Lepisosteus oculatus: one gene and its partner. The protein of the gene in region 2 interacts with the protein of the main gene of each other region in a pairwise test. Links are inferred from orthologs where the notes say so. Each region holds a gene or a part of one and is shown on either strand. Other genes may lie near its edges. The genes, in order: abhd5a and plin1.

Region 1 (12,514 bases), on a different chromosome or scaffold from region 2:
CTTGTTTAATAAGAGAGTAAGCAAAGCTAAGTAAGACGAGGAACTATCTCTGTTCTTTCTTATCTACACACGGCTAGAGACGATATGCTGAGGAAGAGCTGAAACTTTGTATTTTACCCTTTACTTTTCGGCGTGGAATTAACTTCTTGTTCCCTTACAACTCTCAGCTCCCCACTCTCACCTCTTCATTGGTAAGGTGATCAAATCCATATCAATTGCTGGAGGTGATACAGTGTGAGCAGCTGCTTAAATGGCAGACAGTGGCACAGTATGCAGGGCAGACACTGATAACAGGTGCTATAGGGATACATCACAGAGAGCTTTTGATTCACAGTAGTCAAGTACACTGCACGTGTTCAGGAAGTGGTTCTTCAGAAGACATTTCTGGGGGTTACAGGACCAGCTGCATGGTTTGTTTAACAGCACATGTAATTTCGAAATATTTTATGACAAAACATGTATTTAAAAATACATCTTCCTGCCATACCTTGTGGCTGTGCAAATAAGCCATAAAACAAAAAGTGCTTCCTTTTTTTAGTTTTGCTTTTGACTCCATCTATTCCCCATTCAGATCAGTCTAAAGTGGAGACCATGGTGTAAAACCCTACTGTCACAGGCCTTTGTTGGCTCTTCTGGAACCTTCCAGGTAAATGTTTGTCCCATAAAACTGCTGGGTCTTTTCAAAAGGGAAGCAATTGAGTTTCTAAATCAACTGCCGTCAGACCCTTCACCTTGGAACAGAAATGCAGAGGCTCGGAGCAAAACAACATTGATTATCGCTCAAAACCTCAGAGAGGTATGTTTACTTTGCACTGTCTTGTTGCAGTCCAGTGACCTGTGACTAATTGATTCTTGCCTATTTATCGTGTCTTCCTCAAATAGTTCTGAACAGCAGGATGTCCCTCATAAAGATTTTGATACAATGCAGCAGACATTTCTAACAGATTTTTCACTTGAGTGTAATCTATGTATTGAAAGTACAGATGGTCACAGGAAGGGAAAACACAAACACAACTGCCGTTTAGGTAAGCTCTTCAACACACATTAACCTCTTCACCTCACTGTGCCTTCACATTAAAACAACAGACTGTTCATAACACATGCTTTACCCACATACATTACAATACCTTAACAACAGTGCAAGAAGCTCTTGAGATTTCTTTAACAATGCAGTGAAATTGCCACTTTCCAAACGTGGGACACAAACAGAAGTGACAGGAGAGAAAAGGCTCATTTTCAACCTGACTGATGCAAACTGTCTGTACTTTTATAAAAGTGCAACTCTTTTTCCACACATGACATAAATCAATTAAAGTGAATGAGCAACTTAAAAAAAGAGGTTGCACACTAAGCCTGTATGTGTTACTCTGCCATAATAAGATGGCAATGGCAGTGAACTGAACCCACAGTAAAGAGAGAAGCCTATATCTACTAAAGAACTGAATATCAAATTGGGTTCCATGGGCAGTTAAGGTTGAGTGATAAGCCAGTTTAACTGATTGTTTTTTTTCTCTCAGTCAATTAATGTAAAGTGGTTTGTGAATTTACTTATAAATGGCAGCAATCGCTGTGCCATGAGATATAAACCTTGTCTTGATATAATGTCACGCTGTGAAATGGCCAGGCAGAGTTTGTCACAATGAATGCAGTCAGTTATTCTCTTTATTAGTAGTATTAATCACAAGCCAGAAATCATGCAATACGGTAGGTGAGTTTGTTACCTTGAGGTAGATTCCAGGAACCTCAAGAATTTGTAGTACAGAATATGAATACCAAGATTCATCACAACTCGATGGGCAGTTCTGAAGTAAAAGAAAAAGATGTCTTTCATTCATTTGAACACAATATTGTGCCCTGAATTTTGTCACTGTTAAAGACGAATCCCAGTACAACATTTATGTAGATTTTTTATGCCCGGTGAACTTGTCATACATTTTATATTCACATGATAACACCTTTTTACCTACAAGTGCTCGCAAACACAAGAGGAATGAGCCTCTTATTCTGCTTGTGCAGTACTATTCTGCACTTGATGGCCAACAGCATGGGACACACACAGGTAAAGAACACAAACTGAGACTGTGGGGGAACACGAATTTCAGCCATGTGTTTGGGATTTCAAGACAGAAGCACAGTTACTATCAGCATCTGTGCAACATATTAAGAATCTCAACTATTAAACAACTGAAGGCCAGGAGTAGTTAACCCTAACCCTGGGGAGCCACTTAACATCAGATGTATATGGATTACCCTTAAATCACCAATTTCTGAGATCTTGGGTCAATTTTCTTGTTAACCCTTACATCACATTCTGCAAGTAAATGATTAAATGAAGGAGTTTAGCATGGAGCAGAAAATGAAAATGCCATCATCATGAAGCTCTGAAGGATCAGAATTGGCAACTCTTGGTTTAACTGAATTCATTCACTTACAACATCAAGACTCACACATCCCTATACTTTCCAGAGGGAGCTGTGCTGGACTCTTGAATGTGATGTCAGGTAGTTGACATTTTTAAGAATGACTTGTGCGCAGCAGGGAATGCAGACACTGTTCGTGAAAACACTGCATTGATTTCAAAACAACAAAAACCTTCTGGTGATCTTATAACTGCAGATATAGTATTCTGCTGCTTCCCCTCAAGACAGGAAAGCAAACACAGTGAAAAGTCCTGATTTTGTGTTGCACTTTTCGTATCATTTTTCTCACAAATTACACTCAACCGTTAAAGATCCTCTAATTCCAAGAAAACACAGCAAATAAATGCAGGCACGTGTGTCCCCCTTGAACCATTCAATAATTGCAATAAAGGATTTTTAATGCTTTTGAAAATGTGTAGTGTAACGCTGTAACTATAACTTGACCTAACCCAGCATGGCCAGTATATATCCAATTAATTAACGGTTACAAATGCACTAAAACGTAGCTACTTATACAGTTACTTACATTGTAACTTGCCATACATAAACCTGAATATAATGTAATTCACAAGTATTTAACTACAGACTCTCTCAGATGAATTTAACCAGTTAATACTCCTGACTTCTAATTAAAATCATCCACAGTGGAATTTATACACTACTCACACCTGCTTGCAGTGTAAAAGAAAAACGCCCCAACATGAAGTCCCTTTTACTCCAACAGCTAATTTGCAGAGCAGTAGTACTAACACTTCATGATTTCCAAACCTTTGTACAGCTACTTCATTTTCTGAACGGGGCTGAGACAAGATCAAAATAAATGTGTTGAATGAAGCGTGTGGTGTCTTCCAAAAGTATGTTTCCAAACATGTGACCGATCGACAGTCCAGCAATCTGTACCTGTGATAGTGAGGCAGGTCCAGAGATAGCCACTCACTACCTACCCAGGCCGGGACATTCCCCGATCCTCACGCCCGAATCCGATCGGATGAACAGACACACGCATGGCCACCTCTGGAAGTGCCTCTCGACTGTGTTAAGGAAGTAACGCTGGCAGTAGCACTGTTTTCTGCAGCCTACGAAACATTGTCTGCTTACGTAGCGAAAAAGTTTCCATTCCAGGGGATAGCACTTCACCAGGCGGTTTCATAACGTCCCAAAACATATGGTCAACAACCAAGGCAGAGCTCAGTGGGTTGCAGACTCCATGTAGTTATTCCCTCAACATCATACTGCCTTTTCCACTCTGAAGTCTACCCACAGGGATTGTGCCCTAATGCTTCGGATCACTGATACTGGGATTTGCTGTCCCAGTATTTTTTTATGAGATTCTGATATGGAAAAGGGGAATACCATATGTCATTTTAATTAGGCACTGATTTCAAAAATTAGGTGCAGTCGACTTCATGTTCTGAAAAAAATGATTTTTTCCAATTAACTTTGTGCAAATGTGACTGAAATATACAACGGGGGTCTCTATCATGACTGTATAATGTGATTGGGCTACAACGTCGCACAACAATACAGGAAATGTAATTTTTGAAAGCACTGACCACAGCATTTGGTAAAAAGTGACTACTTAACCTCATACAACTAGCAGCTGTGTGGGTCTGTGCAGGAAACGTGTTTGGTAACAGCGGGCGGCTGCTGAGAGCTCTTGCTTAATTTCCAGGCTCTAATGCAGCCCAGCAGGCGAACTTCACAAAGCCAGACACGGAGAGCCCGTTCCGATACCACGACCTATGATCCTGTTCAATATACCTCTCTTGAATACAGACATTAAAACAGCATATAAACGGTCAGTAGTGTCACCCATCACTTAGTTCAGACATCAGTGCAACTGGCAGAGTAGGGACACACACATACCGCATCAGGCTAGTAACACAGCAGCGGGTGAATACAAACCGCAAGTAAACATGCACCCAGTTAGCTCCACTTCTCGTTAGTCAAAGCATTGATACACTGACACGTGAAGATGTACAGTAAGTTTGCTGCTGTTATTGCACGCTGTCAAGTTTCACAACCCAAGGTCCCGGAGATGAACAGTCCCAATACGCATCACAGAAGCGGCAAGCGATTCGACATCCCAAACAGTTCTCGCTTTCACCCGCTGTTGGTTAAGTTCGAGATTCTGAAACACCCGAAAGGGCCATCGCACTCAAAAGTGAAGGCTCCCGAATTGTTAACCAAAATAAACACACCGCACTCACCCTCTCTCCACTGACATCGCCTCTTCGGCCATCTTTCCCAGCGCCGACCTGCAGTGACGTCACCTCGCCGCGTCACAGCGGGGGGCGGGGCCAGGGAGGGGGCGGGGGCGGCGCGTACGCTCTCCGGGAGAGCAGGCGAGGGGTGACCTGCCATCTAGCCGGGCGTCTTTCGTGCGGTTGGGCGGGACGCTCCCCAGCCTGGCCCTCCTCTCCCCATCAGAGCAATGCAGACTCAGCACAGAAGCAGGATGATCACGCAGCCTTGTCTTCCGTGCTTGCGGAAGCGGGAGGACCCGCTGCGACCGCCCCTCACAGGGGTGTACGTGAATAAACATAAGCATTGGTTTGTTTGTTATTTTCCCTTTTTTAAAAAATCTTTTTTATTGCAATAACAAACGAAACAAGAAAAATACACACAACACAAGCCAGAGTACATATAAAGATCATCAGGGGTACTCAACACAGGTGCATTGTGCGAAAAAAAGAAAAGACGAGTTGAGGTAAATCAAGATGGGGCGCGCCCAGCCTTCACGTTCCTGCGTTCAGAAAGCGTGAGGCCAGTGAAGGCCAGGGACCTAGATGTCTGCCTCAGGTTTCTCGTTCCATTTTCAATGCTGCTGCAGTGATGTTATGTCGCCTTTCGCCAGTACATGACTCTTTTCGGTCAGTACTAATCCGGTTGGAATACTGTAGTATTCAGTGAAAGGGAATATCCAAATAAATAGTGACTGTCCTGTCCAAATTGCATCTTTCTATGGAATATAGTTCTAGTTCAGGAAATCGCGCAAACCAGTTTTAAAAACTCACAATAACACGAACTTGCACTAAGAAAAGGTGATTGCACTTTCTGCTTATTACTATGAGTGATTTTGTCTCTCTTACCTTAGTGTCTGAATATTGAGATGTTTTGGTGATGAGGAAAGAGGGACGAAGCAAATAAGCAGAAGGTGTGCTATTTTGTTGATTATAAATCCTCACATGCCATGTTCACAGGCTCATATTAAAAATTCAGTGAAATTCCCTGAAGTTCAGGATTTTGAAAGTCAGTTACATTGTCTCTCACACCTTGGTGTCAGCTTTGTGAAACGAGTTTATAATCAGGAGGGAGGGCCACAGCGAGACAGCAGAAAATGCAATCACCATTTGCCCATCCATTCTCTCATGCCATGTTCAGAGGGTCTTATTTAAAAAACGGAACAGTAACATTTCCTGAAGTTCAGGATTTTTGAATGTCTGTTCCATTGTTTCTCACATCTGAGTTTCAGAATTTGGAGACGTGTTTATAACCAGGAGGTAGGTTCATAGCAATAAGCAGAAAGTGCGATCCCCCTTTGCTCGTCCTGGGTTAACCGTATATTCTCATATGCCATGTTCTAAATATCCCATTTAAAACGGCCATATTCAAATTTCTTGTAAAATGCAAGATTTTGAGACTAATAATGATCAGAAGGCAAGGTCGTGGTAAATATGCAGAAAGTGACAGCGAATTCACGTTTTGCCTTTGCCTTATTAACTCGTTGTCTAACACGCCAGTTTGTGTTATTGTGAGTTTTGAACGTTGGTTTTCGATTTTCTGACATGTGTTTCACACAAAAATGCAATTTGGACAGTCACCGTTTACTTACATATTGCCCTTTACTGAGGATATGTACAGTAGTCCATCCGGATTAGTATTTAAAAATGACCGAAGAGAGCCATCTACAGGCGAAAGGCGGCATAACGTCACTGCAGCAGCATTTAAGGTGGAACAACTCTCATCGCCGCAGAACGGACAGGACGGACAAGTGCACTTAAATATACAGGATAAAGGCAGTGACCAGGTCCCACATGGTCTTTGTAGCTATATATGGGTTCAAAGGGGGGGAGTATATTCTGTGTATAGTACAGTATCCAAAGTACTGTATACTTTATATATTAATATGAAATAATATGAAACGTTTATCCTCAGATGGAAAATAGGAACAGAAAATCCGGTTACATTGGCAGTGGGATCCTTGTCTGCAGGCTGCTCTAGGTTTAGAACGCAGTATGTTTATTTACTAAACACAGAAGAACTAGGAACACACAAAATACTACCCCACTATACCGTTCCCTACAACCCTACTGTAGAGTCGGTGCTAATTATGCATAATGAGCATTTATGTCATTAGCCTCCGCTGAAATTGTGAAAACGATGTTTTTTGCAGGTTTTGTTTCAGAAATAGAGTATAATGTGTTGGTAAAACTGATGGAAAAAGTCAGATTGAAATAAAAAAATCTAGTTTTACATTTATAGAAATATTTTGGCTTCAGAATATTACTTCTCTGCTCCATGATTGAGAACAAACATTTCTTAAAATTGTTCTACACTGCTCACTGCCAATGGCTACCTTAACACTGCAATACAGCTACGGAGATTTCAATAAATCACTGTTCACCCAGACCACAAAAACATGTCTTGTGAGCGGGCATTACATCTAGATAAATCCATTGAGCAACGTATTTCCAGTTATGAAATAATGTCGATGTTTCAGACCCGTTTTACAACAACACCCTCACATGACTGCAGGATGAGCCAGGGCAGGCGGTCTGGACTTTTTAAAGAGAGAAATTGACTCTCTCTTTAACCGAAGAAGAAACAAAAACTCTCCCAACACAGGAATGCAAGGTAAAGAAGAAGATCACATGATGTTATTTTTGCTATACTTGTAAACTGCAGGCATTATTTTTCTTTTTTATTACAAAAAAAAACTGAAATAAAATGTGTACAACTTTCCAGGACAGACTCTTAAACCAGCTTCAGTTCTTGGCAGGTAGATAAAGTTGTCTTAGTCCAGTCTTGCCAGAAAATATGCAAACCCAGTTCATCTTTCACAAACATGAACAATCCTCTTTAAAACGCTTTTAGAACGAATTCCTGACCCCCAAACAGAGCCAGCGTTGGCCCGCCTTATTATTCACATACGGGGACATTACTCTGCAACCACCTTCAGCACGTTTTCGGAAAGGAAGTCACTAGCGTGTCAACTGCGGTGCAGGATTTCCCTCCGAGCTGCTGAGCTGCTGAGCTGCGGTCCGGGCGCTGCAGGCAGGCTGGGTGGATGTGTGTGTGTGTGAGTGACTGGACCAGCTCTTCTGCTGCGCCTCCGCCCGGCTCGGCGCACGGTGACGTGGAGAAGCAGCAGGGCGCACCACCAAGCAGAGCTCGGTAAGAGCCGAGCACAACAGCCGGGAAGTAGCCCGTCCGTCTCATTGTAACAAACACTGATACAGTGGTCACATTTTATTACTCTGTAATCATTTCCTTATCGCAGACCTGGAAGAAAAATCTGGGAACGGGTAAGTCTTCTCAAGCAATGACAGCTGACATTTACTCAAACACGGGGCCTACGTCTCGACATTGAGTGTTTACGTGCTATAATGGGGTCAGGACGCAAAGAAGGTTTGTGGCTGTCAGTAACTATCTAGGCTTGATATCTTCTGAATGTTTTACACATATGTGTCTCTACGGCAAGTTATAAGGTACAATTTAGGAAAACTCCGCCCTGAAACAAGTCCATGCAGTTACTAGCAGCAGATTCGGGTATCTTGCATGTCCCCCGTATTGTGAGTTGATTAATAAACAGCGCTTTGTATAATATTGAATTATTAAAATATAATGTTTGGTCTCAATTTAAAATATCAAGATGTAAAGGCATGACAGTCTTCATTTGAAACTACACTGAGAGTTTCACGCAGTTTATTTCTTCAGTGCTTATTTTTATTTGGAGAATTGTGATAAGCATAACCTCGGTTACTAATCTAGTTTTAGATCGAGAGTTGTTGATATATTTCATTTCATATATAAACGCAAAGAAGCCTTTTTATTGCACAAAGACATAGAACAAAACATAATGTACTGAATATGATATGAACAGTGTTGCACTAGGAAAAGGCTTTAAGTGTATCTTTTTTCAAAATTCAGGTTCCAATTGTTACTTAATTTTGAGGATCAGTAAATTAAAAAATCAATGGCCCTGTTTTTAAACGGCTAACTAGGGAAAGAGCAGTCTAAAATTCAATATTAATCTTAGAGGACACAAACCTATCCAGTAGTGTTCGGTAAAAAATAACTTTACTGAGATATTACGATTCTAGCTAATTACAGAGACAGAAGGAAACATCCAAAATGGTTACAATGCTGTTGAAGAGCATATTAGTTTATAATAATACCCTGCCGACTACAGCCCAGTGTTAATTCCCTCTCCCTATGATCCCGGATGTCCAATATTCAAAGGGACTCAATCTACCTGATTTAAAACCCATCACCAAATCAAGAACAGAACAAGGTCCACTCCCCTACTGCCTCTGTTTCCGTCTGTGAATTCCCTCTTCCTTTCTCCATTTCTGCTCTGTGACCTTTCTCTCCCCCGTGTCATTTTGTGTCTTTTTTTATGTGTCTCTCTGTGAGTCAGACGTCTGTTCTTCAGTTGTGATTGACCAGAGAAGAAGATGTCTTTCGACCCCCTGTCCCCCGCAGCCCGCCCACACCTCGGGAAACAGCTAGATTTCTACCTCGTTTTCAATTCTGTGACCTCTTCAAATCGTGACGATATTGTCAAATATATCCTGACAAATTAAATGACGAAAGCATCTTTTAGGCATTCTGTCGCACGCACATGCCAGTTATAAAAAAGAAAAGTTCATCACTATACTGGTCACGTACAGCCAAGGTTCAACAGCACTCAAAGGTTCTCGCTCTCTGGATTATAATCCTGAAAGACGCTCTCCTGGGATCTCCCTGGCTCCATGGCTGTGACACAGGCCCCTTCGCTGGGCAGTCACGACGCGCTGAAACTGAAGTTCATATCTAACAGTCTTGTAAGTGCGTTTGAGTCATTAGGTAACACTCAGAAATCCCTTACGCACCTATATTGAAATAAATATATCGTCTTTTTTTATTTGTCTCTTTGAGTTTTTAATTAAAAAAAATGTTTTTAAACTATTTTACTCGATGCTCTCGGCGACTGCCTACAGTAGTTCGTCTGTTTGGGCGTGCCGGCCTGCATGTACAGATTGGGGCGGCTTGTCACCCCGCGGCGTGATTGGGCGCAGAATGGCAGGCAGGAGAAGTAGCTCCAGCCTCACTTGGGATTGTTGCCCTTCAGGAGAACAGGGGGAAGAGCTAGTCCTGGAGAGAGAGAGCGAGAGATTGAGGGATTCACTCAAGGGCCATGAGGATACAGAGGAAGAGCGCTTCTCTGTTCATCAGACAGTCCTGTGATACTGCCGGTCTTAGGTTGTGATGCGATTTGAGCTCGAAAGTCTTCTCTCACCCAAGGCAGGGGTGACCAGTAAGGTCAGGAGAAGTCACAAGACAGTGGTTAAACTGGCATCAAGGTACAACACATGTGCTCTGTATACTGTGTGTAAGTTAGAAATCTCCAAGTGCAGTTTGGAATAGCTCATTTTGTTTAGGGAGGAGCAGCTATCTGGAAACAGTTCTTATTCAAATGTGTTCGCCCTCCCTTTGGTCACTGGGACTCCCCCAGCTCTTGTTCTTGGGGTGACCACCCCATAAGTAAGACCCCCCTAATGGTATCAATTTAACAATTTAACAGTCCTGCCAAGTCTCCCAGACCAAACCACCTGTCTTGCCGGCAGTTTGTGTGAGTTTCCCCTGTTGTGTTGTTCAGGAAGCCTGGAAATGAAAAGAGGCTTGTCGAATTCTCCCAGTGATGGCGTCTCATTCACTCCATTGGTGGTCCTTGAACTGGTCGAGGACACCAAAGAAGAAGCTGTGACTTGGCTACTTGAGAAGATACGGGACAAGCAGGAGAATGGAGGTAAGAAGTGCAGACACTGGTGTTCATGTCTTCCTCTTCTCTATCCTGTGGAAGCTTCCAATTACACAGGGAGCCAGTCATGTGCTGTTTCTGTCTCAGTCGGTTGTTATGCTTTCTGGGGTTATGTTTTTAGCTGACAAACTTATCTTTTGGCCTGACCTGTTTTCGCCCGTTTCTGGGATCGGCCTGTACTGGACAGGAGTGCCGCGTGGACGCGTCTCTCTGCGTGTCGGGGCCCGCCATTTGTTCGGTGTCGGTCGCCGGCTGGGCCCGCGCTGGCTGACAGTGATTCTCTCGAAGGGGCGGAGCTGCTGGTGGGGCGGCTGCCGAAGGATGGCTGGGGCGACGGCGGAGGGAACCCCAACGTGTTTGTCGTGGGGGCCTCCAGAGACAGGCTGCTGAGTGGCGCCGAGGACGTCGGCCTGGTGAAGGAAAGCAACGACGGGTCGATGCGAGGATTTACGTTTGTTAACAGGAACAATTTTAAAGATTTCAAGGGTAAGGGCATCGGCGCACATCAGTGTGATTGAGGACGGTATTTCAGATAAGTGGACTAGTTCGACAGTTAGGTTAGAGCAGTCACGGTGTTGTTCAATATTATGTTCAAACTAAATATCGGTAGTCTTCAGCCGATAGGTCTGCGACAGGACCTGATCCGGGTTTTCAGAATCACTGAACGAGGTTCCAGTGGGCGTCTTCAGAATCAATAGTGAAACTGCAGAACACAAGTCCCCAGGTGGAGACTGAGAACAGGAGGCATTTCTTAATGCCAGGCAGTCTTGTTATTAAACACAGGCAATAACGCAGCTGGATGAGACCCTTGGATTCCAAAAGGGCTAGATCAACCAAATAGCCTTTTTATGTTGTCTAAAATCAAATGTTGTCTTTGTATGCACGGATTCTATACTTGTAGACGTTAAAGACTGTCGTTGTTTTTCTGCAGGTGACAGTGATGAGTTCCTCAGTGTGGCGGAGTGTCAGTACATTATTAAGCATGAGCTGGATACTCTGAGAGCCAAGGAAGAGAACAGTGTCCCAGGCTATGCGAAAGTGAAGCTGTACCCAGGAAAGTCAATCTGTAAGTGCTAGTCACAGAGCTCTTTGTCTTCTTTAGAGATGTGGGGGGAGTGCTTAATAATATTCCTTGCACTTGTTTAGTGCTTTTCGCCCCAGAATATCGCACAGTGTTTTACATGTCTGGGAGGAGACACTTCTTGTGCCACTGAAGTACAGCACCTGCTGGGTGGAGCCCTTCTGCACCAGCAGCTTCACCGCACAACACACCAGTAGAGAACTGAGGAATGACTTGGAAAACCAGGGAGGACACAGTGCAAACCCCACGCAAACAGCACACCAGGGCTAGCACCTCCACTTGTACCCTTCAGTCTTTCATGATCAGTGACAAGTAGTCAAGACTCTGGCTTAATGCCTCATCTGAAGGGAAGCTCTTCCTATGATGTTGTTTTTGGTCACCAAACTGAGGTACTGGCTTGGGAATCCTGATCCTGAGGAACAAGATTCACCTACTGGTCCACACAAGCATCTCTTGCAGCTGCATTTCACGTCCAGTTTGTGTCTTTCCATCTGTGCTTTAAACTTGAGCAGTTCCAAGATTGTTTGAAACTGGCTAGATTGCCATTAAGTTTTCAGCCAAACATTTTGTTGGACACTACAAAATCCAGCATTCATATAAAATATGGAGAATAATGTCAGCCTCTTTGACTCAGTCATAAGCGTGTAGTTGCCAGCTCTGTTAACAAAGCAAACTGAAAAATTCCATCAAATTCTAAAGAAAACAGCCATGATTTATAGGAAATACTGGCAGTTAAAAATTCGGTTTAAAAAAAAACTAAAAGAGCAGAACACAATCTCCTAAACTGATCTAAAAAATGCATTGGCTACTGTTTCATACAGAACATGATTTGGGCACTTACATGAGAGGAAGTTACAGTATGTGAGCCCGAGTTAGGGTTAGCGTCTGAGTAACACCTAGAGATTTTGTGATGCGTGTGCTGTGCTTTAGGATGTGTTTGAAATGCAGGAGAAGCGTTGTTTGGTTGTTTTCTTGAGAAAAATAATT
Region 2 (12,228 bases):
AGACTGGTGTAACAATAGCAAGAACAAGATGATGTTACTTGGAGGTTTAAATTTGTATTGTATTTTCATTTCCCATCTTATAGAGCACATTTTGCCGCTTGTTGTAAATTTCAGCTCATAAAGAATTAATATCTACACGATCTAAGCCTGTTTCAATACTTTAAAAAAATATATTTAAACATCAGAAATACAAAAAAGGAGACAATATTAAAACAGTTACAGAAATAGACGCTTCACAGCCAGAGGAATTCACAAGGATAAAAGCTGAAGATTAAGGTTTTTACATATTTCCATTATATGTCTTGCCTTTTGATTCTTTAAATGTCTAATAGAATTCAAATAAAAAAAGGAATTCTATCTTATAAGCATTAATAGAGGGAGCAGTATTAGACCATTTACTTTTGTGGATGAAGTATTTCGCCAAAATAATGAGCAGCTAAATAATAAAAACAAATACTTTATCCCAATCAGGTCTAACAAAATAGAAAATAATATCAAACTCTGTTTCAGTACTCCTGCTGGAAGACGCTCTTGAAAGTGCAGTATGTGCTTCCTTTCAGAGCTACGCAGTACGCATGCGCCTTGCTGAAGTATTTGATACGAAATAAGGCCGCAAGGGCAGAATTAGCAAGAAAGCTGGACAACCTGGAAAAGAATATGAGCGCAGGGAGGAAATGTAAGTACCTGCTCCTGTGACAAACACACCCAGCAGTCAAGTGCTTCTGAATAAAGCAGCTATAATTACAAAGGGGGGTTGCAGGTTCTGACTGATTTACTTTGCATGTGGATCATATATTTCCATTGTGTTGGGGTGCTGTGTGCTCTTCCATTGTGTGCTTCTCAAAGGAGTTGCACATACAGCACCGGGGATTGGAGTCTTCCTGTCGCCCCACATACCAGGCAGTGTTCAAAGACTACCGCGATAAAGGATACCCCTAATCTTGGAGGGGTGGAGGGGGGTTTGTCTTTAATCTGTCTTTGAGCAGTGTCTTCCTTCTGGCTTCTTGAACCTTCACATCTCTGCATAATCAAGGAACCTCCACCAGTAGCAGGTGGCTGGTGTTTTAGAGCTGTGACTCGCTGTCCACACTGGAGGACCGATTTCTAACTGCTTCTCCCAGTCCAGCATGGCGGGGGAGCCCCAGTCTGTCCCAGCAAGCAGCAGGGCAGGGTATTGTATACCCTTGACGAGCTGCCCTTCGATCACAGACACAGACATGGACCCACTCACACTGGGTTCAGTTCTTCCAGAGGCCAGTTAAATTACCAGCGTGTTTGTGGGGGGGGGGAGGGAATTGCAAACACTGGCAGAACATGCAAACTCCATGCAGATAGTGCCCCAAGTCCAGAATTGAACCCAACACCCCAGAGCTGCAAGGCAGCAATGCTGACCACTGCAACGCTGCATAGCTTGGACGCACGACTGTCTTGTGTCATAACTGAAAAAGTGAACGTTCCATTTTAATCGGGGTTCGCCTTCTTTTCCTGAGCAAGACAACGGGAAAGGAGCCGTTTCTCACAGAACCCTCAGAGTTGTGCCTGTGCCTGCTTCCTCCTGCAGTGTTCAGGCTGGGGAACACCGTGAGCTCTGTGCATGCAGCCAGGCGGACTCTGCAGCTCTCCGATCCCGTCCTGCGCGCCTGCCTGGCCGCGGCCCACCTGAGCCGCGCGCTGTACTTCATCTGCGATAACCTGCTGTGGGCCAGGAGCCTCGGGTTCCTCCAGCACCTCGACAAGGAGCGCTGGGGCCTGCTCGCCTCGCGCTTCTACCTCGTCTCCCTGCTCCTGAACCTGGCGCGGGACCTGTACCAGATCTCCCGCATCATGGGACGCAGAGCCCGGGATAAGCAGGTCCAGGAGAAAATCAGCCGGCACCTCGGCAGCAACGGGGACGTGGCGTGCATGGTGGTCCCGAAGCTCGACGCCTTTCTGCTGCTCCTCTGCGAGAGCCTCCGGAGCCACCCCCCCCTGCTCCTGGACACGGTGAAGAACGTCTGCGACCTCTTCATCCCAATGGACAGCCTCCGCATATACAAGACCAACCCGGGGGTGGTGGGGTTTTGTGGGCTGGCCTCCTCGGTTTTGGGAATACTCTCAGTCCTGCAGCCAAGCTTGAAAGTGAAACCGTAGCTGTGCGCCGGCGGAGGGGACAAGGTGGCTGGTGGTGCGAGAGAGATTGCTGAGCGCTTTGGTGCTGCGGCTTGAGCTGCAGAGGTTTATGGGTAGTGATCACTAACAATCCTAATGCTGTTTGCTGACTTTCTGTAGTCGGGGGGTGCTGATCTTGCTCCATAGGGGGTATTACTCCTTCACTGGCAGGGAGCAAATTAGCACCTGTTCGCAAGAGGAAACCGTGCTGCCAGTGCAAGTGTGGGGTTTTCCCTTATATAAAGGGGGTTAATCATAAAAAGAGAGGATTAAGAATTCAATCTGGAAAAGAATACTAATGTCAACCTAATTTCAGTTTCTTATTATTTATAATTTTTGAAAGGGATGCACGTCTGGGAGATTGTAATGAGAGGACCACAGAGCGACAGAACACTTCACTTAGTATGAGGAGAAGAACTATCTACTCTGTGCTGTTGAAAATTCTGCTGTCTGCTTAATTGAAACAACATCACATTCATAAGTGAAAGAAAGAATTCAAAGATTAAGTTTAATGACAATATTTTCTTGAAAATATGATTATTCCATAAAGCAAATATCTTTCAATCCACTACCTGGTATGATGTTGGCTAAATCAAGGAAGCACTGTATTTTTTCTACCTACTTACAGAGACTTGTCTGTGTTAATGAGGTAGATATTGAATGCACACACCTGCTTCTACTGCCAGCTGTTAGTACTATTCCTACCTCACACCCATTTGGTACCAGAACTTGTTCTCTAGTTAAATTATTTCTTTCTAGTCATTCCTACAAATTATGTTAACCAATAGAAAAACTGTTCTTGATTAATAATATTGTAGCGCTTTCGGGTTCACGTGGGTATGCATCCTCGCCGCTGACGCCTCAAGTCGGCCCCCCACCGCTGGGGGCTCGAACCTGGGCCTCTGGAGTCACTCAACAGGGACCCAGCCGGCTTAGCTAAAGGGAGATCTCCCCTCAGCTCAGCGGCTGAGGTCCCTGCTATTCACAGGGAAGGGCGGTGACATCACTGCGCTGGCAACCGGCTTGCACAACCTGTAATGTTGGCCGTATGCGTTACAGTATATAGAGTATGTTCAACTAAATTATATTGAGATCTAGCAAGCAGATACCATTGATTTGTATATGGTTGTGTTTAACAAAATTAACAATGAGAATGAAAAAGATTTACCTTCAAAATAACATATAAAGCCTTCCTTTTTATTGTAACAATTGAGATTTTGTAGTTCTGAGAACTTTTTGTAAGTTCTCTGCAAACAGTCTTGAAGCTCCCGTTTTTGAAAAATGTAGAGTCGAGGCATCCCTTAAAACAAGGAAGTGTTAGAATCAACCCTTAGCCTTTATAAAAATTACAAAGTATAATTATGTGTATTGGGAAGTGCTGTATGTCATACGATGACAAAAGTAAACTGCACACGCACATGTAATAAATACATAGGGCTACAAATGTATTAAATGTTCATGATGGCACTTGTTTCTATGCTGTTTTTTATCTTTCTATATTAATAGAAATGGTACACTTTAATTCTACTGTACAACAGACCCTTTTGAAATAAACAATTACTTTTTTTAATTTCACCAGGTTGAAAATATTTAAATGTTTCTTTAATCAGAATAGAGAAAGATATTTGCCAAATGAAAATGGATGGATCAACAATTCTGTTTTGTTCGATTTCTGTTTAAACAGCTGTGACCCTTAACAGAGATGAACTTTGGTTTAAAGACAGCAGATCCTCATTTTAAAAGCTACTATATACTCTGTGATATTGTATCATCTTTATATAGCATATCTTTTTGGAGTTTTAGAATTGCAGCTATTCTAACTAAAATAAGAAATAAGCTGCTTTATGGATACATTTACATCTTTTGAAACCGATGCTGTGGAGGATGCAAATGAAGGAGGAGAGCAGTTTCAAAGTCAGTTCCACTTGATTCAAGTCCAGACACAGAAAGAAGAAGCTGTTTGTTGTAGATACTGTACCCAGCTTCGTTGTTAGGGGACTGGTCAATCCCGAGTTGCAGACAGAATGTCCTCTGTGACACCGAGCTTGTACGAATGTTTGACTCGGATTCAGGATTTCAAAATGATCCTTCAGGATTGCACAAAAAATCACCTTTCACCCAGATTGTTAGGATTTGCTCACAGACTACATGAGTAGAGAGAAATCTGGGGCTTATTGAAGAACAAAGACTAACACTGTAATTTGACATAGTTGTAACTGCACTGGTCATGAACCTATTGTTTTTCTGCCAACATACATTAATTGGCCAAAATACTATGAATCCGTATTAAAATGGAGAGACTATAACAGGCAATCCACAGCTGGCTTGAGGAGCATGAAAAATATTTCCAGAATCTTGCCTAGCCTGAAGAATCCCTCCATCTCAATTAAATTGAAAATAGTTCAAGTAGGTGGCTGCATCAGCATGCGTAAGCTGCAAAGGAACAGGTAACAGGTTTATTCCATGCTGAAAAGAAGGGTGAGCCACACCTGAAGAAGGCTCTGAAGCCGAAACGTTGTTTCCTTTTCTTTTCTTTTCAGCATGGAATAAACCCGTTACAAAGTGAAAAATGGTGGAGCAATGCAGTTCGAACCCAAACATAGGAATTTCCCACACTGGATGGTGGTCTCTTTTTGTTGAGAAATCACTCTTGGTAAGAGCTATTTTAGCCCGAAGGTGAGAAGTCTCCCTTTGTTTCCGGGGACACCTGAACAGTCTCCGGAGATCTCTGGAGGTCCACAAACTCCTGCTGTAGGCCATTGCCTTCGTGAAGAGGATCCAGATAGACAAATTGATAGGTTTGGATAACAGTGGCTCAAAACATTATTGGGTGGGAATTACTAAGATTTTGACCAGTGGGTTAAGTTCTTGTTAGACTAACAAAACCTGCTTCAAATACATTAAGTCTTTATCATTCTGTTATGCTAAATTTAATTAATTTGTTATTACTATTGTAATCCTTTTCTCTTAATTTATTACCCAACAATAACCCAACATACACTTTGCTTGAACAGCTAGGTCTTATAGCCAATTTTCCCCTGACTTCGAGCACTCACTATTTACTATACACTATTGACTAAACTGAGCCGTAGTAGAGCCAACGCGAAAAACAACATTTTTTGTCCCTAATTCATACCTTGTGTGTAGCAAAAAGTCTTACTTGGGCCTAAACTACATCATAAAACACTTGTAAAAACCTTACCGAAAACTTTAGTCGTAGCCCAAATGTTAGATTGTAGAGCCACTCCGAACACTAGGCTCTTCTAAACGCGTGATCAGGAATGTGCAATTATGTTTTAATTAGAAAGCACAGTGCACTATCAGTGCTTCACGAACTGAGTATACCATGTCAAATTTGAATAGTATTTTCGCGGTTTTCCTATGGTTTCTATTATACCATTAATTAACTGTATTTACGTTTTCCCCGGTGTCCCACTTGTCGTAGTGAGCATTAACCATAACTCTGGGTTTTAGGTGTTTAATCCTGGTATCACTGCGATTTGCAGTCGTATGTATATGTAATAAAAACTTTAATCACTATTTAGAAATGACATTCCGAGTTGTACAGTTTTGGCATCATAGCCACTGAATCGCAGAGACACTGTCCCAAATCCTAAGTAAGCTAAGGGTTTTAGGAAAATGTTCTAGAGAAGAGGGAAAAAAAACGTGATATCCTTAATGCATGAGTTATTTGAGCATCACACATTAAGTCATTACATCTCTACGAGCCTTTAAAAACCCCTGCTTTCCAGCGCGGAGGAAGTGCTGGACAGGTCTGGACCGATGTGGGCGGGGAATGACAGCTGGTATCTATTTGCCCGAGGCCCCTCCGCTCAGTCCTTTCCCCAGAGGAGCCGAGTGGCGGACACAGTGAGCGCTGCGCCTTCAGGCTAGAGTGAGTATTACTATAGCACCGGCCGGGAAGCATCAGGACTGCACCGCTGTTGTGACAGATAACGTTTTCGGGATTCCGAGGGCTCAGAAGACAAGAGGGCACAAATGAAGCTGATGCCAAGCCCTTCCATGTGCCACCAAGTTCGCCACTTAAAAATGCGTAGTTATGGTGCTTGATTTCGCAAGTGTTTACTGCGGGTTTGGTTTATAAGTTTTACGTAGTTGCAACACCAGTGAAACTGGTCGAAATTCGGAGCCACGCAAAACGGCGTTTTTACAGCACTCAGCAGGAGGGGTACAATGAAGAAAAATATCTTAATTGTAGCATATTTATACGTTTTTTTCGACTACGGACTGAAACAAAATCTGTTAATGCAAGCCGTGTGTATCATACGGGTATCCTAGCTTCATGAGCGGTGCAGTGTTAGTATGAGATTATTTGTATTTTTCTGATGCTTTTTGTAATTCTTTTCATTCATGATATTAGATGTGGCACGGCTCTGTTTTCCAAATTAAAGTCTTCTTTCAGTTGTTTGCTTTTCTTGACCCGCTTGCCTGGAATATGACTGATACGAAGTTGTTGGTTGCGTGTGTTAGTTTGTGGGCTATTCTATTTGAAACGGTTAATCTGGGAAACTTCACTCTGGGAACTCATTTTCGGAGACGATCTGGCAGATACCTTGATTGTTATCCGCCACCTCCTGACAGTTTATCTCTTGACTGTTCACTGGAGAATCCCAGTTTCTGTTTCTATTGACAGGCTGAACTTCCACAATGGCTACAGAGAAGACAGTGCCTGCTCCACCTGAGAGCACAGAGGTACAGAAAAGCATTCTGAAAAAATCGTTTTTTTGTTTTCACAGAATACACCAAAAATACTAAAACAATGACTGCCTTTGGAATGATGACTGAATGCAAATACTTTACAAATACAGCAAGTACAAATACTGCCAGATCTTCCTAACTTCTCCTTCACAAAAGTAATGGTCCGTTTGTGAAAAGTTAGGGTTGCTTGTTAGCTTCCTATGAAGTCCTTTAAGGAGCACTGCTGCCTGTTAAAAAGCACACATGAAATTAAAATGTTTAAAGGAGAAATTGATTTTCGTGTGCCAAGGAGGTAACTTCTAAATTCATCTGCTTGGATGATGAAAACAATACGAAAGGAAAAGGGGAAAAGGGAAACTGTTCAGGGCAGTGACTGCTGGCTCTGACCCCCCTCGCAGGAGAGCGTGCTGGCCCGGCTCCTGGCCCTGCCGGTGGTCGACGGCACGTTCGCTGTCATCGAGAGGGCCTACAGCAGCACCAAGCACGTGCACCCTGTCGTCTGCTCCGTCTGCGAAGTGTACGAGACGGGCGCCAAGGTGGCCACCAGCCTGGCCGTGCTGAGCATCCAGCCTGCCATCCACAGACTGGAGCCGCAGAGTGAGTACGCCTTCGCCCCGTGGATCTCCAGTTTCCACTGTGCGCCCGCTACGCTAGACTACGATAAGTGCAATGGAACAAGTAAAGGTTTATTCCATGCTGAAAAGAGAGGAAAAGAAACCCAACGTTTCAGGTGTGGAGCCTTCTTCGGGTGTAGAAGAAGCACCCCTGAAGAAGGCTCCACAGCTGAACCTTTGTTTCTTTCCTTCTCTTTTCAGCATGGAATAAACCTTTACTTGTTCCATTGCGGCCTACGGCTGCTGAGGCAGCTGCCCACTTGAGCTACGGTAAATGCAGTTTATAATGAACGTTCAGGATGGAGGACACAGCCGAGTTCGATCAGCCTCAGCTGTCAGTAATTCGCCATCAGTTCTGATGTAACTTCTTCACTTAAACATTAAAAATGATGTAATCCCCTTCTCTCCCTCGCATAAGTCTATCGCATCCCTCCTTCAGCTCGTCGCCACCTCTGCAGCTGCCCTTGGTCTCTCCTCTCGCTTCCAGCCTCCTCGTCAGGCCAGGAGGTCAGCCCTCAGCCAAGGGGTTAAGACAAATTTTATTGTGACCGGTGCAATCCATAAACCTTTCAGTATACTGAATTCCTGGCTGCTGTTATTCCTAGTGAATTAGTTGCAGGGCAGTAGTCTGTATTTATAAGGGCAGTGCCTTTCTTCCTTGTTTTTGTTGCCATATGAAACAATTGTAGAGGTGTGAAGTGTGTATTCAAGGCTACAAGCACACAGTCAGACAGCCACTGCGCAGGTTATTGGTCTGTGCTGGGATTCCAGAGAGTTAATTCAAGCTTTATTAATGACACCAGGGGAGATTTGTCCAACACAACATGACCATCACCACCAAAAAAAGAGGTCAGGACAAAACAAAATGTCAGGAACATGTCCTGTGAAAGCTGTGATTAAAATTCATATTTTTATACATTATTTTAAAGTGTAATTGCAGAGGGGAGCAACAGTTACGCAGATACTGTACATTTCTGTGCACAGAGGCGTCTTCCAGATGGAAGTGAGATCAGCACTGTCTGGATCTCTGTGTCTGTGTGGAGCTGTTATGCTCTCTTGGTGTTTTCAGGGAGTGTGGGTGGGTACTTCAGGTCCCTTCCACCTGGTTAGTTTTAGATTATCAGCTGTTATCCGGTGGAGGGCCTGATCCAGACGCCTGCTAGCCTTCAATAGACCCCTGAGCTCGTAGAGTGCATTTAGACCAATCTGATTTACCCCAGTGATTCTGCTGTTTATGTTCGCTATTTTCCCCGAACCCATTACGGTTTGCAGTACTGATACTAACAAACCAAGAGGAAAAACAGCACATATTGTATAAGATGCATTCTGTAAAAGATTTAGAGCAAAGCTCTGAAATACTCCCACTTTAAGTAGCTAAGCTTACTCAGAAAAAATCTCTGCCTTAGGTGAGGTGCCAAACTATGTTTAGTGTAATAATTGAAATATCAAAGATATACATATGTACACCCCACACACACAAGAGAATAAGGAGGTTCTTGGTAATGTGGCTATCCTCTGATATCTCTGTCATTCAGACATTTCCAGGTTGTCCTTTGAGACCTGACACTGCTGTTAATTGTATTATACCAAGTTGTGCTGTTCTTCTCAGTAATGTCAACACCTTTTTTTCTCCATTTCTATTTTATTTCTCAATTTTTCCATCTTTCCGTGCAAGTTTTGTGGCATACAGTGAGCCAGTACCAGCTGAAAATGTTAACAGCCCTGCTTTCAGAGCTCCAGTTCTGTTGATTTTAGAAAGCTGAAAGGTAAAGCTAAGTAATTTTAGAAAGCTGAAAAACACGCTGTGAAAGAAATGAATTTAAAAAATAAACTTAGAATGAGTTTCTCAACATGATATTTACACTTTTTTAAGTTTGAAAGTAGCATTAGTGTTTTTTGTTTTCAGTAAAAATTTTGTTTTGGAAGTTTCCATGTCAGCAACGGCCCACACAGTAGTCTGTTGACTTGTGCTGCCGTCTCTTGGATCATGCTATTTCTGAGTTCTCTCTTTGTTTGTGTGGATTATTAACAGGTCCTCAAATTTCCTTCCACTTGATTAGTTGTGATTGGCTGTTATTACTGGTCCCTCACCCTCTGGTCCTGTGATCAGAGGACCAGAGGAGACGGGGGGAGACTGTCCACCTGTCTGGAGAATGCCTCTTGTCTACTCAGTTCTGCCTAGTGCCCTTGTGTTAGTGGGATAAGCTCTGCCTGGCCTGAGCATCTCTAGCATTACCGACTTTGTGATCGTGGAATAACATGTGCTCCTGCCAGTGTGCTAATAAACCTACCATTCATAGAGCAGCAGCAGCTCTGCACAGGAATGGGATAAATGTCAGTGTTATTATTCATTTGTGGATGCAAAAGACCCCCACTTTAGAAAAAAATAAAGTTTCAGTTGGTTACAGACCAACACGGCCAAACATTTACAATGCTTTTCATATTTAAAGTTTTACAGCTCTTCTTTTTACACATCACCCAACTTTTTGTTGAAATGTACCCGGGCACAGCTCTGTGTACACCATTTTGGCATTACTATTGACTTTGAATGACACATTGATCTAAACATGTGCGTAAGCATTTATTAATTTTCCATTCTGTCTTGCTTAAGTAAAATCCCAGACTGGTTACACTATTACTCAATAAAAGTGCATTGTTTTCTTTTCCATTTTATTTTGCCTTGGCTGATCATTGCCAATGTCTAGACAGAACCGCCTAGGCTACCCAAGACTTACTGCAACTGCGTGTGACAGTAAATACATGAGATGCACTTCTCTCAGGATTCAGTTCCAGGCAGCAGGGCACTAAGACTCAAGGTCAGGGTAAGCCTAGGGGAGAGACGGGCGTTGTCTGAGAGCCTGTGATGATGTGGAAGGTTGTGGATAGAGAGCTTTGATTACTAAAGGAAATTGAAAATAATTGGTTATTTTGCCCTAACCTAACCCTTGATTGGACCACATCAGAACTGATCAGATAGACAAAGCAGTGGAAATCTGTTATTTCAGTTTATCTTCAGATCTATGTACAAAAGAGAATCTGGAAACAGGCTACCAACCTGGACTGATTTCAACCGGTCCAAGCTGGCACACAAATAGACCTGATCACCTGTCAAATAAACGGGACAAACCAGAAAGACACGAGAATAGGACAAATCTGTAGTTTCAAAATGGTTTGGTCTATGTTCAAGCTTTGCAACTTACAGAAGGTTGAAAAGTTTGTACAGATGTATGAAATCTATTTTTACCGGACCTGCTCAGAAATTGTTAAAGGTGAAAATGTATTATTTTTTTAAGAGGTTTATTTGCATACAATTTACATTATAGAATTCCTCAAATTATTTTTGCACCTCAGATTTTAATATTGTTTTTTAATATCTTATTTTAATATTGTAAAAAAATAAAATAATAACACATAAGGACACATCCAAATGCTTTCAGAACTGATCAAGCATATAGTTGCAACATGAAAATTTAAATTTTCTTTGCTTGTTTTGCAAAATAAGAAGTTAATATTTAGCGACCTGTGTGGTGATGTGCTTTTTCTCCCCCTGTGTCCTTTTTGTGCTGCTTCCCTGATTCCCTGATTTCAATAAGTCTTTGCCAGCTTGTACAAACGTGCCTCTGGAAGCTTTTGAAAGAAAAGAACAGAGAAAGAGAGATTTAGGCACTTAGAACTTTCAGCTTCTCCTTAATGGCCCTGAATAAAAGACATCAGAGCAAATTTGTTCCATTTTAATGGTAATTTAAGTTTTCTTAAAGCTCCATGTCTATATATTTTTGTAGCACATACCGTAACCAACAACTTACTGTAGGGAGAACTTGAAGAATATCAGGAGCATAATGTATGTGATGTTGTACACAGGGGCAGTTTCGGATTGAGTAATTTTACCTAAGATCTAAAGTCCACATTGAACAGCTGAATTTTACACTTATGCTTCTTATATTGTTGCATCAAACATCTTGTGACATTTGCTGTGATCAACAGAGCTACAGATGGCAAAGTAGTTTATAGAAGCTGGATCTGCCTCATTGTGAGACTTCAGATGTGAGTGGATGATATTCTAAGGTTCATTAGTTACCAGAAAAAAATAAGCAGGATAACTCATCTGGCATCCTTTTGTGTACAACACTTCTGAGGCTCTTATTGTCCTACTTTCAGTATGTGACCCTTTTAAAATATAAGACTGTCAACATTAGCTTCTTACACCCAAAGACATGGATCCTGACCTACTTGGCATATCAGATGTGATATATCCAGTTTATGAATGGAGTTTCTAACAGAAGATCAGGAGGAAGGTTAGATCCCAATCTCGCACACTTCCACTTACCTACGTATATAAGTTTTCATGTATCTGACTCAAAAGCCACCCCCCCCCCCCCGCCTCCCCATCTACACCCTTGCAGCCGCTCCCTGGCTCTTTCCTCACAATATTGAGGGGGATTTGGGCAGCCTGTCCTTATTAAGATCTAATCTACTGAACTGCTGAAATTCTACTTAAGTAAAAAAATATGCAAATAACTCATGAAGCCATAACTTGGGACTGCAGTATAAGGTTTGGTGTTATGGTATATTTTCATGTTTTCAGAATTTTCCTATAGCTTCATAATGTTTGTTCTATGCTTTAATTCCCTGTGGATTCCCAGTGGATTATAGTGTGCCTTTCCACACCTCTGTGCTTTACTGAGCTTCGACTGCAGTTCACTCTGACTTAAATAAAGTGCAAAGGAACAAGTAATAGGTTTATTCC

The links.
Region 1: the proteins of plin1 (region 2) and abhd5a interact in a protein complementation assay, tested with the Homo sapiens proteins (3 studies listed by BioGRID, with this or other methods). The link is inferred for Lepisosteus oculatus from reciprocal best matches to the Homo sapiens genes PLIN1 and ABHD5.

Annotation. Positions count from the first base shown.
Region 1 is NC_090705.1:42,881,531-42,894,044, forward strand, and holds the start of abhd5a (1-acylglycerol-3-phosphate O-acyltransferase ABHD5), read right to left. Parts: upstream 4,701-12,514; 5' UTR 4,663-4,700; coding exon 4,631-4,662; intron 1,803-4,630; coding exon 1,722-1,802; intron 1-1,721. Other genes in the region: ano10a (anoctamin-10), read left to right, coding at 7,711-7,817, 10,289-10,434, 10,735-10,932, 11,378-11,512. UniProt on the Homo sapiens protein: Coenzyme A-dependent lysophosphatidic acid acyltransferase that catalyzes the transfer of an acyl group on a lysophosphatidic acid.
Region 2 is NC_090700.1:52,665,339-52,677,566, forward strand, and holds the start of plin1 (perilipin-1), read left to right. Parts: upstream 1-5,924; 5' UTR 5,925-6,043; intron 6,044-6,802; 5' UTR 6,803-6,816; coding exon 6,817-6,861; intron 6,862-7,265; coding exon 7,266-7,464; intron 7,465-12,228. Other genes in the region: pex11a (peroxisomal membrane protein 11A), read left to right, coding at 561-676, 1,562-2,130. UniProt on the Homo sapiens protein: Modulator of adipocyte lipid metabolism. Coats lipid storage droplets to protect them from breakdown by hormone-sensitive lipase (HSL). Its absence may result in leanness. Plays a role in unilocular lipid droplet formation by activating CIDEC.